4 linked regions of the Macaca fascicularis genome follow. The protein of the gene in region 3 interacts with the protein of the main gene of each other region in a biochemical or structural test. Links are inferred from orthologs where the notes say so. Each region holds a gene or a part of one and is shown on either strand. Other genes may lie near its edges.

Evidence for each region.
Region 1: the proteins of RAB5A (region 3) and OCRL form a complex in vitro, tested with the Homo sapiens proteins (2 studies listed by BioGRID and IntAct, with this or other methods). The link is inferred for Macaca fascicularis from reciprocal best matches to the Homo sapiens genes RAB5A and OCRL.
Region 2: the proteins of RAB5A (region 3) and APPL1 form a complex in vitro, tested with the Homo sapiens proteins (2 studies listed by BioGRID and IntAct, with this or other methods). The link is inferred for Macaca fascicularis from reciprocal best matches to the Homo sapiens genes RAB5A and APPL1.
Region 4: the proteins of RAB5A (region 3) and CHML form a complex in vitro, tested with the Homo sapiens proteins (2 studies listed by BioGRID). The link is inferred for Macaca fascicularis from reciprocal best matches to the Homo sapiens genes RAB5A and CHML.

The regions. Positions count from the first base shown.
Region 1 is NC_088395.1:135,829,751-135,834,045, reverse strand, and holds part of OCRL (inositol polyphosphate 5-phosphatase OCRL), read right to left. Parts: intron 3,867-4,295; coding exon 3,756-3,866; intron 3,328-3,755; coding exon 3,238-3,327; intron 2,559-3,237; coding exon 2,438-2,558; intron 2,352-2,437; coding exon 2,190-2,351; intron 454-2,189; coding exon 352-453; intron 1-351. UniProt on the Homo sapiens protein: Catalyzes the hydrolysis of the 5-position phosphate of phosphatidylinositol 4,5-bisphosphate (PtdIns(4,5)P2) and phosphatidylinositol-3,4,5-bisphosphate (PtdIns(3,4,5)P3), with the greatest catalytic activity towards PtdIns(4,5)P2.
Region 2 is NC_088376.1:120,345,612-120,349,906, forward strand, and holds part of APPL1 (DCC-interacting protein 13-alpha), read left to right. Parts: intron 1-258; coding exon 259-353; intron 354-549; coding exon 550-732; intron 733-2,344; coding exon 2,345-2,397; intron 2,398-3,119; coding exon 3,120-3,294; intron 3,295-3,391; coding exon 3,392-3,428; intron 3,429-3,990; coding exon 3,991-4,137; intron 4,138-4,295. UniProt on the Homo sapiens protein: Multifunctional adapter protein that binds to various membrane receptors, nuclear factors and signaling proteins to regulate many processes, such as cell proliferation, immune response, endosomal trafficking and cell metabolism.
Region 3 is NC_088376.1:28,474,406-28,478,700, forward strand, and holds part of RAB5A (ras-related protein Rab-5A), read right to left. Parts: intron 3,147-4,295; 5' UTR 3,054-3,146; coding exon 2,891-3,053; intron 1-2,890. UniProt on the Homo sapiens protein: The small GTPases Rab are key regulators of intracellular membrane trafficking, from the formation of transport vesicles to their fusion with membranes.
Region 4 is NC_088375.1:7,536,289-7,541,334, reverse strand, and holds the start of CHML (rab proteins geranylgeranyltransferase component A 2), read right to left. Parts: upstream 3,224-5,046; 5' UTR 3,158-3,223; coding exon of another isoform or gene 3,127-3,157; coding exon 1,153-3,126; 3' UTR 1-1,152. UniProt on the Homo sapiens protein: Substrate-binding subunit (component A) of the Rab geranylgeranyltransferase (GGTase) complex. Binds unprenylated Rab proteins and presents the substrate peptide to the catalytic component B.

The sequences.
Region 1 (4,295 bases), on a different chromosome or scaffold from region 3:
CCACAAGTACATTCATAAGCTATGCAAAAAATAAATCAAAATACCTCCCACAGAGGATAACAGTAGAGCTTTGCGCTTATATCCTAGGAACTGTCACTGTTAGAACTGACCTCAAGACTTAAGTTTCTATGCAGAATATATAGATTCCTATGGGTTTCAAGAAAGTTAGATGCTTCCTTACACCATTTTAGATATCTGTTCCTTTCTGTTCTCACAAATTTGACCCACAAGTTAACTCTCGTGTATAGTCTACAGTAGGTTTTACCAAATTCTTTTCTAAAAAAGGCAAAAACATCATGTAAACTAACACCAAACATATAGCCAAAAGGAAATTCCAGAAGTGTTCTTTACCCAATGCAGTAGATATCAGGAGGACTGGGATCACAGTTCAGCCAAGGTTCTAACCCGCTATCTGGAGACTGGCCATTCACATTCCAAGTTCCAACAAAAAACCTAATACATAATATGAAAAGATAATTTGAAAACAAAGATGAAGTATAAACCAACAGAAGGTCTTTCTTTTCACTTCTATACAAAGGTATGTTCACAATATGCTAACATAATTCCTCAAAATGTTTTGCTACATATGTAAGAAAGATCTTTTGCATCTAGAACACAAAGGCAGTGGGCTTATTTTCTCTAAATTTTACATTAAGTAAAACTACAGAGGAAACCAAGTCTCTATTTTTAAAAATGCAAAGGTAATTGCTATACCACATTTCCTTTCAATTAAGCTCCATCCAAACTCATACTTGAAAGGAGAGCTTATGGATGGGAAAGAGGTATCTTCATGCTGTAAGCTAGTCAAATATGGATAAATGTTCTATAAGGGGCTGTAGTTGACTCCAGAAATTCACTTCCTGAAGGATTACAAGGACATCTGTGTAGGAAATTCTGATGAGGCAGACATAGTATTAAGGGGGAAAGCAGAAGGGAAAACTCATGACTGTCTTAACTGTTTACACACAAATATAAGCATAGTGGGCAATATGAGGAACTGGAAGTTTTAGCACAGTGATATAGTTATGATTGAATTAGAATAAATGAGGCATGACAGGAAAGCAGATGGGACTAGAATCTTGGACTAGAAGGGTACATTCTGCTCATGAATAACAAAGAAAGGTGGTGTTGCTTCATGCATTGGTGATACATGCCACATGGTACCTCACATGCAGCATATACACACAGGTCCAGAAAAGAAGATGTCAACAAGTAAAGATGAAATAAAAAATAATACAGATGAAAGAATCCAAGATAGACCTCCCAATCAAGAGGACTGGGTGAAACTTTCTTTACCAAAGTAAGTTAAGAGCTAGTGGTAATGATGGACTTTAACTTTCTAATATTGGCTGGAAAAAAAAAAAAAACTTAGCAGGCCAGATATATAAACACGCTTGCTTATGGAATGTGCTAGGGGAAAATTCCCTAGTACACGTGACCTTGATTTGGTTCTCTAGGACTCGATAGAGACATTAGTAGACATGGCATAAATTAGTAGTTAGAAAGTCCAAGGGAAGGCCAAGCACAGTGGCTCAAGCCTATAATCCCAGCAGTTTGTGAGGCCGAGGCAGGTGGATTGCCTGAGTTCAGGAATTTGAGACTAGCCTGGGCAACACAGTGAAACCCAGTCTCTACTAAAAATAAAAATAAATAAACAAACAAATAATTTTTAAAAAAATAGCCGGGAGTGGTGGCAGGCACCTGCAGTCCCAGCTACTCAGGAGACTGAGGCAGGAGAATGGTGTGAACCTGGGAGGCGGAGCTTGCAGTGAGCTGAGAGCGTGCCACTGTACTCCAGCCTGGGTGACAGAGTGAGACTCCGTCTCAAAAAAAAAAAAATTAGCTGGATGTGGTGGTGTGCACCTGTAGTCCCACCTACTTGCAGGGCTGGGGTGGGAAGATTGCTTAGGACTAAGAGGTTGAGGCTACAGTGAGCCATGATCTTCTCTCCAGCCTGGGTGACAGAAAGACCCTGACTCATAAAAAAAGAGAAAATCCAAGGGAAACTGTAGCATCTGCATTATTTTTGATATGCATGTTATTGGCCAGCATAGAGACAGGAGCTTGAAACAGGCGACCGTTTCTTTTTATCATTGATTCTTAATTAGGCTAATGTCTTAAATATCAACAGGCCACTGTCTGTTATACCTACTAACTTTTTAGACTCAGGAAGCAAAAGAGACACTAACCTGAAAGTCTGAATGTTGACATATTCTTTCTCTCGCTTTGCCAGGATATGTTTGATGAGACCCTCCCGCTGCCCAGATTGGGTATTTGGTACAAAGAGCTTCCGCATGGTGTTGGTCACTTTGGGCTGCTCCTTATTAGAAGCTTCTTTTTCACGTGGAAGCCTAGCAAATAAACGAGAGATTCAAAAGTAAAATTGTTTAAACTATAATTCTCCTACAGGGGAAATATGTTTTCACATGGGACTTACATTTTATTCACTAAAGGGGGTGGAGGTGGGGGTTCCCGGTGAATCCCAGTAGGCTGATTTTGTGAATTTATTTTCTTGTCCAAATTCATAGAAGAAAAATTGTCTTCAAATCCGAGAAGCCCTGAAAGACACAGACCCCAAAGTCAAAGGGGGAAAAAATGTAACATCCAACATATCCAGGGTAACAGGGCTTTGATTTGATCACCATTTGATCAGTGGTATTACTAAACAGAAAGCTACCATAAGGGTAGAAATTACTTGGATTGGGGCTCGAAGAAGCATACCCATTCCTGAAGCACTGATATACTAATTAGAACAACAGTTTACAATAACTTGGAACAGACCAGTAATAGCTAACATTTATTGAAGACTTAGCACAACGCCTGGTTGACAGTAAGGGAATATATCATTATCTCATTTAATCATCACAAAAAACCCACAAAGTTAGTCCTATTAAAAATCTTCCCATATTACAGAAAAGAAAATGGAAGTTCAGAGTTGTTGAGTAACTCGATGAAGGTCGTATAACTAGTAAGTCCTTGACTTGGGATTCAAACCCAGGCTGTCTGGCTCTGGAGCTTGTACTTTCTACTATCCTGCTAAGCTGGCTCCTGAACAGCTACCATGCTACAGAAAGGATAAGGAGTGAATGCTGGTCAGTGGGTCTGGACTCGATAAAACTACTCTGCAGGAGAATGTGTCTGACATTGGCTTTAATCTACATCACCATATTTGGCCTGATAAAATCCACTGACTCTGCAATGACCATAGCAATAAGGGAACCAGGAACTTTTTAGTACCTGAAAAAACAGAAGGTTTGTCCTTAGTGTCTAATTTCTGGTACCAGCTAGATGAGTCCTTTTGCTCTGGAACAAGAAGTTGTGACTGAGCTGGAGAGATAAGGTTCACGGTCAGAAACTGGGAAGTCTTTCATTGAGTAGAATTTACCATAGCCAAAAGCCATTCTTTCAACATTCGTTAAAAGCAGGGGCCAGCACCATCTTTGGATACAGTGGAAGAAATTAAGGAAATGAGGGCAGCTCTGGGGTCATCTGCGGGCAGAAGGAGAATTATAGTCTATGGTAATCTATGCTTGCCATGACACTGAATATTCTGAAAACTGGCCTAGTGTCCTAAAAGCTAGGCAGATTTGTTCCCTAACCTATCCCTGTGTTCACTCCTGAGGAAAAAAAAAAAATCAGCTATCAGGGCTTAAAGGGTGAGGTATTTTGCCAATGGCCACTTTCCTCTGTATCAGCATGTCAGAATTCCACTCCCATTGAAATAGAAGAAAGAAAATTGCTGAGTCTTGAGTTACCTTTCTGAGCAGCAAGGACAGCTGAGAGGAACTTCAAACAGTGTTCCTCATCAGGGATTTCAAAGTGGCGCTCTCTGATCCAGTCCCCCTGAACCCGAATTTTGCAGCCACCTAAAAAGAATTGAAATCCATACATATACTGCTATGGGATAAAATGTTTTACTGGGATCATATTCTCAACTTATCAGGTTAATAGAAGGTCCAGAACACAAATATTCCAGATCTATAATATAGGAAGCACATGTACAAGATCAAGAGAGTCAGTACGACGGTGGTGGAAGGGGTGATGCAGAGAGGGAACCCTAAGGGAAGTGAGAACTCCTAGGGCTGATGAACCATGTCAATGAGCAGCCCAATCTAAGGATATGACACACACTAAAATCATACTTTCCTGCGTTCTGATCTCTCTCTCAGACATCAAAGCAGGGACCTTCGAATTCTAGCAACAGGTAAATTCCTCAAATCACCCTCCTCCCATTCCTTAGCTAGAAATTCCTACCATTTCAAGTCCAGATCATATTGTCAGAGTATCTGAAGCAC
Region 2 (4,295 bases), about 92 Mb from region 3:
GGGAATTTTAAAAAATTAAAGAAAAAGCAATATCTAATAATTACATATAAGTAGAAAATCAGATTTTTTGCTAGTTTATAGGAAGAGGAAATCAGTTATGTACCCTAATATTAAGGTGAGGGAATACAGAACTACTTTAGTAGCTCCAATTTATATTTTAAGTGTAACCAGAAGCATTCTAACAATTCAGAGTTACATTCAAACTTTTGGTTTGCTTACTTTACTAATATTAGTCCTTTTTAAAAAAAATTAAAATAGGAAACTGCTGCACGAGTAAATCAGTCAGCTCTGGAAGCTGTCACTCCTTCCCCATCTTTCCAGCAGAGGCACGAGAGCCTGCGGCCAGCCGCAGGGTAAGTTACCACACTGTGAGTTATTTAAAGAAGGATATGGGCTATTTAAAGTATCTGTGATCTGGGATTATGTTTGTACTGAAACATAAGACTTCTCATTGACTTATAATGTTGTGTTTTCTTTTTTCATAGTTTGTTAAATATTTAATATCCAAAAGGGAAAATTAAATGGAATGCCTTCTTGTTTTATGCTTAGACAATCTCGGCCACCGACAGCTCGAACCAGCAGTTCAGGATCCTTAGGATCTGAGTCTACAAATTTGGCTGCCCTGTCTCTAGATTCCCTTGTTGCCCCAGACACCCCAATACAGTTTGACATAATTTCTCCTGTGTGTGAAGATCAGCCTGGCCAGGCAAAAGCCTTTGGCCAGGGAGGCAGGTGGGTGATAGCATCACAGGTACATTGTGCTGTGGTCTGTAAGGCTTATAATCCGCTGTCTACATTTGAGAGTCATCTCTTATTTATCATGTACATCAGCTGTGTTGTACTTTCTTTGTTTAATTACGTAACATACTGATAGTTAGGGAAGAACCATGCAGGTTTTTCCTCTATGTCTTCTGCCTCAGTTAAGGAGTTAAGATAATTTAGTTTCAAAACATTTAATTCTGTATTGCTTATTAGGTCTACTTCTTGGATATTTGCTCTTAAAATTGCAGAAGAAAGTTGATAGCCCTGTCTTTAGGTCATGACAATTTTTTAAAAATTCTTGAGGATAATACACGTGATATGGGTTTATTAGAAAATATTATCTTATACCAGAAAAAGAAATCTTCAGGAAGTTACTAAAACATTATCACTATTATGAATTATTAATGAATCATCTTTTATTTATATAATGAATATTCTCACCAAAGCAGTTAAAATTTTTCCTTGGCTGTGGTTGAAGGAAACATGACTTAAGGCAAATCATTTATTAAGTAGAATGGACACCTAATGAATTGATCATATATTAATTTGGATATACATGGCTATGACCCACAAAAAGTCATTTACACATCACAGAAATACACTTAGCATTTGATGTAATAGAACACATACTACAGATATTAATTTCCTTTTATCTTAATGTCAGTGTTTTTTTAGAACCACTTAGCTCTCTGCTTCCAAAACCTATTTTGTTTTGTTTTGAGACGGGGTCTCACTCTGTTGCCCAGGCTGGAGTGCAGTGGCATGATCATAGCTCACTGCAGCTTTGACCTCCTGGGCTGAAGGGATCCTCCTGCCTCACCCTCCTGAATACCTGGGACCACAGGCGTGCACCACCACACCCAACTAATTTTTAAATTTCTTTGGTAGAGAGGGGGTCTTCCTGTGTTGCCCAAGCAGATCTCAAACTCCAGGGCTCAAGCAGTCCTCCTGCCTCGGCCTCCCAAAGTGCTGAGATTACAGGTGTGAGCCACAATGCCCAGCCCTTCAAAACCTACTTTGAGTTGTACTTTTCTTCCTTCACTGTGGTGTGCCACAAGCCATGCACACTAAGGAGGAAGGTAACTTCCATCTCCAGTTCACTTTTCTTTTTGCATTGTTACTTGTGCTTTGAGAAATACAGGTTTAAACTAGATTATAGCTAACTTGCAACATATACTTACAGAAGTAAGTAAAAACCTAAAAAGAAGTTTTTACAATTCCAGGACATTCTTAGCATTTTTCTCAAGCAGCTAAGATTGCAGTTAAATCAGTGTTCCTCTGTGCTGGTTTATTTAAATTCAAGAACCTTTGCAACATGGTTTATTATTATGTTGATTTTTTGTTGTGTATGGCTAAACTTCCAATTCATCTGTGTCTTCTAAAGTGCATGAACATTGATCAGTTAATGTGTGACAACAGAGGCCTTCATCATAGTAATTTAGTGATCAATAGTGTTTCTTAACAGGATGGGGCATTTTAGAGCTTTCTTTTTACAATGTTAACTCTGGTTTTAATGATTATATTCTTCTATGTGGCTCATGGTAACTGATCATTTGTTCATATTTTTTTCTGAACTTTTTAGGCGTACAAATCCATTTGGAGAATCTGGGGGAATTATAAAATCTGAAACTGAAGGTAACACAGATGTGCAGCATTCATATTTTAGAACTGCTTCTCAGCAAACTGAAGAATTTATTGTTTATATTTGTTCTGCTGCTAAGCTCAGTTTTCATGTTATCTTTACTTCAAAATTTCCTCTACTTATAGTACACTTGAAACAACAGAACTTAATCTGACTTAAGATGTTGTGATTCATACAAAACTATAGACTCACACTTGTGACCTTATAGTCAAATTCTCAGTGCCTAAGATACCTTTCAAGCTTTTCCTAACAGCTGATGTTTCACTGCTGGTACTGGAGCATAAATTTTGTTTTTCCACCACTAACTATTCATTTTAATTCCAAACTTACAGAAATGCTGTAAGAACCACCAGTTGTGTGTGTGTGTGTGTGTGTGTTAAGAGACAGGGTCTCCCTATGTTGCCTAGGCTGGTCTCGAACTCCTGGGCTCAAGGGATCCTCCTGCCTCAGCCTCCCAAAGTGCTAGGATTACAGGTGTCAACCACCACGCCTGGCCTCAGAACCACCAATTGTTGAAGCATTACTTTTAGCTATTTGAATTTTAAACCCTAATTTTCCTGTAACTTGGAATGCTGTAGTTAGGAGTTATTTTGAAATGTATCCCTTAAGTTGTTGAATTTTTCACTGGAAAATCTAAAAGGAGGCAATGTATTTTATTCTTTTGGAAAAGAAATATGGCATTTAAAAATATATAATACACCTTGTTCTGTTATAGATTCTATTCTTCATCAGTTATTTATTGTCCGATTCCTTGGTTCAATGGAGGTGAAATCAGATGACCATCCAGATGTTGTTTATGAAACTATGCGCCAAATCTTAGCTGCCCGGGCCATCCATAACATCTTTCGGATGACAGAATCGCATTTATTAGTCACTTGTGACTGTTTAAAGTAAGTAAAACCCTCCCTTAAAAAGCTGTAGAAAAAACATGTACATGATTTCAGCCTAATTAAAATTTGTTTTCCAATTTTTAAATTATTATTTTAGGTTAATTGATCCACAGACACAAGTTACAAGGCTCACGGTGAGTTCCACATGATTTAAGCTTTGTTTTAGGTCCCTTTGTATATATACACATTTTACAATTTGATAATAATCCTAATCCTGTATATTCAAGTGTGATAGGATCAGCTATGATTGGTCTTTGGCTGTTATAGTTAAGTCTGTGGCCATCTCCAAAAAGTTATCATGGAACAGTTTATGTAACTTAAAATAATTAACACAATTCTTATCATTGTGTTATCATTGAACATTTTATGTAACTTAAAAGAATTATCATTGAACATTTTATGTAACTTAAAAGAATTAACACAATTCTTTTTGTAATTTTTTAACAGTTCTTTTTGACTTTGTAAAATGTGTTAATGACTAATAAAATAAATGTAATATTCAACAACCTCTTTTTCTGCTTGTTAATTCAAACCAAATATGACATTACTTGTTTCTGCACTACCAGTCTGTTAAAATAATTGGCTTTAATATATTACAATATTTATATTTTTAGAACTTAGCTTATGAGTTTGTCACAAGTGCTGCTGTAATGACTTGTAAAATCTCATGTTTGCTTCTGATGTTTTCTGTGGCAGTTTCCATTACCTTGTGTAGTTTTGTATGCTACACACCAGGAAAATAAGCGCCTTTTTGGATTTGTTCTTCGGACATCAAGTGGGAGAAGTGAAAGTAATCTGTCATCAGTCTGCTATATATTCGAGTCAAACAATGAGGGGGAAAAGGTACATGGCTTTGCAGAATATCTCTGTCATAACTACTTACTAAGTGATTCTTACTAAGATTTAATAATTATTAAATTCTTACTAATTAAATTACTTAGTAATTACTGATTGAATTCTTTACAATTAATACAAATTTATGAGGTACATGTGAATTTTGT
Region 3 (4,295 bases):
CCTGTCAGTCAAAACAAAAATACGTATTACCTGCAAGTTATAGACCTTTTGAGTTGATCATGAAATAGCTCAAACCTTAAAATTCTTAAATGTTTTACATCTACTCTAGCTCCTAAAGGTGAAAAGCTATGAGTACAGAGCATAAAAGAACAGTTTCCACAGCTATAATCATAATGGTACTGTCATACCTCCTGAATAGTATTCACATGGGGTCAGCACAGTGAAAAAGTACCCAATAAAGATTAACAGAAAGGCCACGGGCAGTGGCTCATGCCTGTAATCTCAGCACTTGGAGAGCCCAAGGCGGGCGGATCACTTGAGGCCAGGAGTTCAAGACCAACCTGGCCGACATGGTGAAACCCCATCTCTACTAAAAATACAAAAATTAGCCAGGAGTGGTGGCTTGCGCCTATAGTCCCAGCTACTTGGCGGGCTGAGGCATGAGAATCGCTCAATCCTGGGAAGCGGAGGTCGCAGTGAGCCAGGGCGGCACCACTGCACTCTAGCCTGGGCGACAGAGACCCTGTCTCAAAAAAAAAAAAAAAGGATTAATAGAAATTTGGATGCAAATTCATTTTTGTTTTTAAATAGGAAGCTCTACAAATAGAAATGAAAATCTTTACGAAAAATTCATTAATGAAATCAAGACAATCTAACTGGTGTTACATGGAGATTATATGGAGATACACACGTATCAGAGATATGTTTATGATACACAGGATATGGGTTACATTTTTCTTTTAAACACCCTTCTTGAGCTATCATTAGGAAAAAATAAACTTAGAAGTGGATTACCCAAAACAAGATAAAAATTCTAACCTTAAGCTCTTGCAAAGCTCCCCAGGAATTAAGTTCTATACTACAGTACTTCAGATTTTTTATTATTTTAATAAAATAATAAAGAGAGGAGAAAAGAGTAGCATATAGTAACTCCCAAACGTATTTGGCCCAGGTATTTAACCCAGAATGCATATATACTTTGGGAAATGCTGCCATTAACAGTAAAGTAAGTGGGTGTACATGATCTGGCATTCTTTAACCTTTTCCTACTGGACTAACAGTTAGCTTTAGATTAAATTGCTTCTGGAGGAAGCGAAACCTTCTAGAGAAGCAGTATTTCATTATTAAAATGGATATAGTGTATTAACAACAACAACAACAAAATCACATGTGGATGTACCTTCAAGGAAAAAAAAGATCACAAAGGATGTCTAATATATTGTGTATTAACATTTTTTAAAATGTCAAGACTTCTGACTCAAAAGCTCCATGATGCTTTCTGATGTTCAGCAATTAGAAAAAACATAAAATATTCTAATATAACATTGTAACAAGATATACAAAGGCCAGGAGGTAGTAGAGTTCTGTAACTTATCTTACTAGAATGGGTCTAAGATTATGAATAACATTCTCAAGCATATTTGCTGAAGAACACTCACTAAATGCACAGTATGAAGTTTTGCTTCTGAAAGACAGATTCCAAGAAGTTGCCACATGCCAGCTGGTATCTACCTGTCTTATTTCCACAGTTTGACTTTAATTTTACAGGATGGGGTTAAAACATATACACAAATACCTCAGAAAAGAGCATTGCTTAATTATGTATCACTTGCAAAATATCGTGAATCTCAAACTGTGTCATTCTTCCCACATTTCATCTAATTGAAAAGCATCATTTCACAGATTAAACAGCGGCCCAAAAGAGGCTCTCTTGTCCCACAGCTATATAATTATAGGTTTCTTTGATTAAAGTCAATTTTTTTTTGTTTTTTTTTTTTAAAGAGATGGGTTCTCATTGTGTTGCCCAGGCTAGACTTGAACTCCTAGGCTAAAATAATCCTGCCTCAGCCTCCAAATACCTGGGACTAAAGGAATGCAGCACCACGCCCAGCTAAAATTCAATTTTCCCACTTCATGCCCTCTCTTGACAATACCGTACTGTTCGCTGTCTCCTTTTCACCCTGCATCTTACCTTCCCCTCATCTCTGTCGCACCATGACCACCTTGTCAGTGCCTATTCTTTCCCTTCTCATTTCATCTTTTTCTTCAGGTTCCATTTTCCTGTCATGTCCCTTTCCATTAATCACTTTTTCTCTTCCCTCAGCTTAGGAGCATTCTTACATGTACATCTTAGCAGGGAGCACCTATAATCACAGCTACCTGGGAGGTTGAGAATGGAGGCTTACTTGAGGCCAGGAGTTCAAGACCAACCTGGAAACACAGCGAGACTCTGACTCTTAAAAAAAAAAAACAAACTTGCCTGGCATGGTGGCAAGCACCCTTAGGCCCAGCTACTTAGTGGGAGGCTAAGGCAGGATGATCATTTGAGCTGAGAGTTCCAGGCTGCAGTCTGCAGTGAGTTATGATCCGGACACTGCACTCCAGCCTAGGCAAGATTCCATCTCTTAAATAACAACAAAAAAAGTACATCTAGCAGTATTTAATTATATTTAATTAATTTTACAAATAAGTATAATGATTTACAAATAGTTCAGTTATATAGATCAGAATTTAAGGTTACTTTTTTTTACTATTCATTTTAAACCAATATAATTGAGCACAAACATGTACTGTATTAATTTGAAGAAGCTTCTACTTGTTAGCTAGAAATAGGTATCAGGTCAAGTCATATTACTTGAGACACTGATTCTACTCATGTTTTTATCTGTATTTTAGCGACAATATAACCACAAGGGATTAACCAAACAATCAAATGTAAAAACACATCATTTTCACAAAAATAAAGGCAAGTTTTAAAGCTTAAGGTAAGCTGAACAGCTCTTTTCTTCACTCTATGACTTAGCTATTCATAATCACACAATTGGAACATCAAAATACTTTGTCAACGTATGATTCGATTAAATGAAGCAGGGAAAAAAGAAAATCTCACCCCCAATGGTACTCTCTTGAAATTCATGAAATTGGCCTTTCACAAAACGAAGCACTAGGCTTGATTTGCCAACAGCAGACTCTCCCAGAAGTACTAGTTTGAACTGGCATATTTTATTTCCAGTATTTGGCCCGTTGGGTCTTGTTGCGCCTCGATTAGCCATGTCCAAATTTGAAATAAGTCCTTAATTTCAGATTCTTCAATGAACTTCCAGAATTCAAGGGGTAAATATTCTTCTTTCTGGAGGTAAAGAAACCTGTAAAGAAACAATTATGAATTAAATATACAAATCAGTAAAGCAAATTTACTATTAATCACTTTAAATTTTGCCTATAGCACGATTATCTTAAGCTCTACTAGACCTTCAATGTCACTATCTTTTAAAGGAAATTTAAAAGTATAGGATTTGAGCCCAAAATCATTTTTTCTTTTTTTTTTTTAAAGGCTAACCTCAAAGCTTCAACTTTGTGCCAGGCAGTACTTTAAGTACTTAACTTCTCAACAATCCTATAAAATGAGATATTATTACAATCCTTATAAATGAGGAAACAAGCACAGAGATGTTAAGAAGCTTAATTGAGGTCACATAGTTACTGTCACAGAAGTGACACACAGCTGAGTTTCAAACCCAGGCAACCTGAGAGATGACTTGAGTTCAAGTTTTGTAGCCAGGCTACTTGGGTTAACATTGTTTTGAGAAAAATTATGTTATTAATATATGGGAAGCTTTTAGAACAGATCCTAGAGTTTAGTATTATTTGAAGTCTTCTGTTAAACGATGCATTTTTCATTTAATTAACGGTAATTTTGGACAACAAATATTTTCAGTATCCCAGGTTTGTGTGCCTAATGGCAGACAGACTTAAAACTGTTTCTTCATCTGCTCAAGTATACCATACACAGAAATGCTAACAGTTGTTCTCTATGTGGTGGGATTATTACTGACTTATTTACTTACACTAATTGTAACTTTTTTGTAGTTTTTAGAAGAAAAAATGCATGACTTTTTTTTTTATTATGAATTTTTTTGAGAAAGGGTTTTGCTCTCTCACCCAGGCTGGAGTGCAGTGGCATGGTCATAGCTCACTGTAACCTACACCTCCTGGGCTCAAGCAATCCTGCCACAACCTCCTGAGTAGCTGGGACTACAGGCGCTCAGAACCATGCCAGGCCACTTTTTTGGTAGAGACACTGTCCTGCTATGTTGCCCAGCATGATCTTGAATTCCCGGGCTCAAGCAATCCTCCTGCCTCAGCCTCGCAAAGGGCTGGGATTACAGGTGTGAGCCACCACACCCAGCCTGCAGGCCATTATTTTTTATTTAAACAACACATTAAAAAATCTAGCCTGAATGGCAACTTCTGTGCTAATTTTTAATCTCTAAGGAATTAGTGAATATTTGAAG
Region 4 (5,046 bases), on a different chromosome or scaffold from region 3:
ACTCTAGATAACAGCTAAGAGGCAAGAGAGATTACAGAAGGTTGTTGTTTCACAATTTGTGAAGTGGGACACAACCAAAAGGGCATGGTAAATCTTCCTTTGATTCATTCCTATCAGTTATGTTAGTAATATTAATTAAAGTGGTAGAGCCAACAAGGTGGTAGGTTTCATTCTCACTGAAAAACCTTGGGTAATCTATTTATAGAGGGTTTTATAACTATCTGTAATCCCAGGTTAAAAAGGCTTCACTCTGTTTCTCCTTAGGAATTTCAGAACAGCCCTTCTGAAGTATCTTCTCCTGGGGCACTTCATTTTTCCTTTTGGTCTAAGTTACTTGTTGGAAGCTCTTTAAGTGCCAAAGCAGGGCTCTGCAGAAATTTTCTGAAGTATTAAATGAGAATAAATCTTATCCTTCAAATTTTCTTTGCAATCAACCTCCCCAAAATGAGTTTTTCAACTACTAATTGAACTCCAATTCTTTTTGTAAATTAGAACACTGTGGTGGCGTCATTGCCTCATCAGTTACAAGAGTGAAGTGGGTATTATAAACTTCAGACCTTCACAATGAATAAAGCATCATGCAAAGCTAATCTTTTAACGATTATAGACAAACGAATTTTATTATCATATTGGCATTTGTATTAGTTGCTATTCCTACCACCATGTCTAAACATTTATATTATATGCAAAAGATCCACATAATTTACCATTTGTGTGTGTTTCACTATTCGAACAGGCCGCAGCAACTATAATAGCTGTGAAAGTAATTAAAATATTACTTGGGTATTACTAATTGTTCTGTAGACAAAGATAAAATCTGAAGATCATTAGCAAATACAACATTACCTTTAAGCTGAGTTGTTAATATGGAACCCTTACATACATACCCAATACTAAAATACAGCTAACTCTGTTTTAAGATTATGGGTCATGTAGCCCATTCTAAACAAAATGTTCAATAATCAATAAATCACTCATTGATAGGTTAACAAAGATATTCAATGCTGAATGTCTGAGAGTTAAAGACAACATCTGCATAGCATTCAACATATATAACCACTTCTAATTACTCATATGGGAAACTGTCCTTTAAATGAGAATATTCTGATGCCATGAAGGAGGTCCAAAACAGCATTTCCAGATTGCTCTTTTCTAATTTTGAAGGTGCTTCTCTGGGCTTTCTTGGTTTTTGCCTTCCTCAGAGGACTCTAGTGTGGCCACTATTACATTATTGGTTCCAGAAGACTCTGGCTGCTTATCATCGCCATCAAAGATAATGTCTTCTGGATTTGGAGGTGGAGGGCAGAATTCTTCAGTTGGAAAGATCTCCTGGAAAAGTGTTTCAGCTTGCTTGACGGCATGCTCATTTCCCAGGCCACAGTCAGGCCCAGAGCAGACATAAACATTGGAAGGCAAGCCATTATATGAGCTTCTGCTGATTCCCGAGGAATCTCTCATATTAAAATAAAGAGCCCACAAGAGTCTTGGCTTTGTAAGTTCTTCCTTGTTTATTTCTGTTTCAGTATATGGAGTGAATAATTTCTTCACCACTGATTCTAAGTCTTCTCTTGCTGTTTTAGAAGATGAACATGTCAAATGTACCAGATAGGTGTCCTTCATGCATGTCATGGTTGAAGAACATAATTCAGTGACCCGTACAGCACAAGCTCCTGGCTCTGCTGGAGGAACTATCAGAATGGAAGTCTGCTGATCTGAATCTGTCTTTAGTATAGACTGATCTGTAATGAGTACTGCCCTAGAGATCTGCTTATACTGCACATTTGAGCATGTTTCCTCAGAAAGGTAACTGTCTTCCACAATAAAATATTTAGCATTTATTCTTTGACCAAAGTGATCTATAATTGCTTTACATCGTCCAGATTCTTTGTCGACTACAAAGCATTGTACTTTATGACGAAGACAATAGATTCCACCAAAAACTGCACACATCCTACAGAAACATTGGGGAATTTCTCCTTGGCCATACAAGGGAAATAAAAAGGGAGTGTTGCCAAACCGTCCGAGACACTGAAGGAAGTTTTTAATTGCGTTAAGGCCATCTATTGTAGTGCAAGATGATTCTGATGTCATTGCAATTGAGTGCAGTACAAAATGTTGAAGGTTGGGAGTTAGTTTTTTAGTTTTTAAGTATTCTGAAAATGAACACTGCCTGAAAGCTTGGTATTCATCAGGATGTTGTTCATACTCTAAACAAAATGTGAGAAATTTCATTAGCATCCTCTTTTCAACCATGGTGAGTTCCTTGCTATTGAAGACATCTGCTCTGGAACAAGGCACTTGTTCTACCTTTCCTTCCCGAAATGCAAGAATCCTAGTGACATTTTTGAATTCTACATAACGACTAACATCTGATTTGATTAAAAGATCAATTAGCAATCCTTGAGAATATAGCAGTTTTGATACCAAATCAATATTAAACCTCCTCCCTTCTTTAACTATTTGAAGGTAAGTAATCCTATTTCTAATTGGTTGATTGGCATTATCTTCTACTGTAGATTTGCTTTCATCTTTATTTCCATCTTTATCTGAAACTGTGTGCATACAAGTTTTATCTCCACAATACTTTTCCTTCTCCACTGATTCCTCTACATCAGTTACTTCTAGTGAAATCTCTCTATCACTTTTCTGAGTGTGTTTGGCAGACATTTCATCGCTATTAAAATTTGATGACTGGCTGTCTTCAGGCAAGCCTGCGGAATCCAGAACTTCAGTGAAGGTACTAGACACCCCTGAAGAAGGATTTTTCTGCAGAGCACCAACCTCTTCAACATTGTCCTCCATATCCTGACTGGCATAACAAAAAGCTTCTGTGTGTTGGATAGTTTCATCCTTCTTGCGAAGAGAGATGGCTTCTTCTGTTTCATGGATCAGGTCCTGCCATTCAACAGTACTTTCTTCCCCAATGTCATTGTTTTGCTGATGCTCCTTCAACCAGGTTAGCAATCCTGAAAAGCTGAAACTAGCCCAGTTGCCTCCATAGTAACTTCTTGAATCAATATGCAGAACTCTCTGACCAATTCTTGAACATGCAGCTGCAAGGATGGATTCGGGCAAACCTGTCCCTATTATAACCACATCGAACTCTGTGGGAAGACTGTCCGCCATTCTAGGAAGTAAAAGTGTCTGGTGACAGTTGCTGATGAAAGAAATGAGGTGTGATTATGCTGTAATAAAATCTGTCCTTCTGATGTTCCAGTTTATCCCAGAAGCAATGAAGTTGCAGGTCCTAGCTGTTTTAACAGTTACCCTTTTAAAATATATTTTTTTCCTTATAAGTCAGTAGCATAAAAACATGAGCAAGTACATCTAATCACATCTGAGAATACTAAAATGGATGTGTGGTTTCATTTCTGTATTTCATCTTAGCAGTAAATGTCAAAATGCATCATATATGCATTTGTGACTGGAACTCTTCTCTGAAAGAAGAAAATTCAAGAAAGAATACATTGTAAACAATATAAGAGAAAAATAATTTCATGCAACAATGACAATCCATTGGAGTATGACTTCTTATTTGGACATAAACCTCCACTAAAGCATGTCTTAAATGCTTTCTCACATATTTTCTAATTTCTTGAAAATGGACAATAGAGATATAACAGCCCTCCCAAGAATCAGGCAACATAGTAATAGAGAATGAACATAATGTTCCACAAAAATAAAGAAGAAATAACATAATACAATTCTCTAACTTTAGCTTTTAAGAAAACTATCATGTGAATAAATCTATACACAGCTGTGAGCTTAGACTAAAAGGAACGTATGGCTCCATTGTTTATAGAAACAGATTATACATTAGGTACATACTGCCATGATTAAAAATATTTCTGTGGCCATTACAGTGTGTGTGTGATTCCCGAATAGCTGAATATAAGACCTTTTCATGCCACAACCACCTTAGGATCTCATGATAGCAACATGAGACTATTTCTACTCAATTACTAGTAAGATTATAATAAAAGGATTAATTCAGTAAAACAACTGGCCATTTAAAAATATTTAGGCTCATAACAGAATAGGCCTGAGGAGGAAAACCTATATATTAAAAATATGTATATGAATGTACACATGTATATAAGTGTAAGTAAAAAAGGAAAAAAAGTATGTAAGTAAAAAAGGAAAACTCCTGGTTTCAAATTAAAATATCTTAACATAAATAATGCCTACTTATTTAGGCTTGTCTAAATAAGGCTTGTCTCTGCAACCCTGAATCTCTATCCCAAGCAAAAGGTCTATGTAAACATCCTCTGCCAAGACTAATGTTGTTTGTTCTTATTTTTGAAGGGTAAGTAAAGAAAAAAAAAAGGCTCTCCTGTTAACTTTGAGCATAATGCTGGTTACACTCCATGTGCAGAAGACATCTGTGTGATGCCACGTGTGGCCAGAGGCAGAACGGCCAAGGTACTGAAGAGCATACTCACCGGAAAGTCTTTAGGCTAAAGTATTACATACACCTTACTGCTAAACTTTGTAACATTCATCACTGCACTGGTTTGAGCTCTGGTTTTCGCTACTGTTAAACCTACTGAAATATAAATCAGTACAAGCTAGACCTGTCTAGGCCAAGATGACTAATAATCCTGGATATTGGTAAAACAGGCCATTCAATTGGAACTTAAATTGCGTAGGGCACAGACCTTTAGTTTAACTAAAACGGCAATCCTAACAGTCCTGTCTAGTCAAAGCCTCTGTCTCAAAAATATCAAGGATTCCACTCATTTTTGGCATTCCCTAAGAAGCCAGGAACTAAGTACAGAATGAAACAGTTGCCTGGCCCACTCAAGTATAAATTTAAGTATGTCTGAATTACTTATTCTGCTTCTTCCAGCAGGGTGTGAAGAGGGAGACTGAATCTATGATGGTATCTGAAGAGGTGTAACCATAGTATATGCTGCTTCTTGGCTTAGAAAGATAGGGCTCAGGGTAAGAGTAAGAGCAGAAGACACAGTCAATAAGCCCTAACATCAGGCACGCTCTAACCTACAGATATCAAAGAAGTCATCAAAATGCAAAGCAAGTAGGATG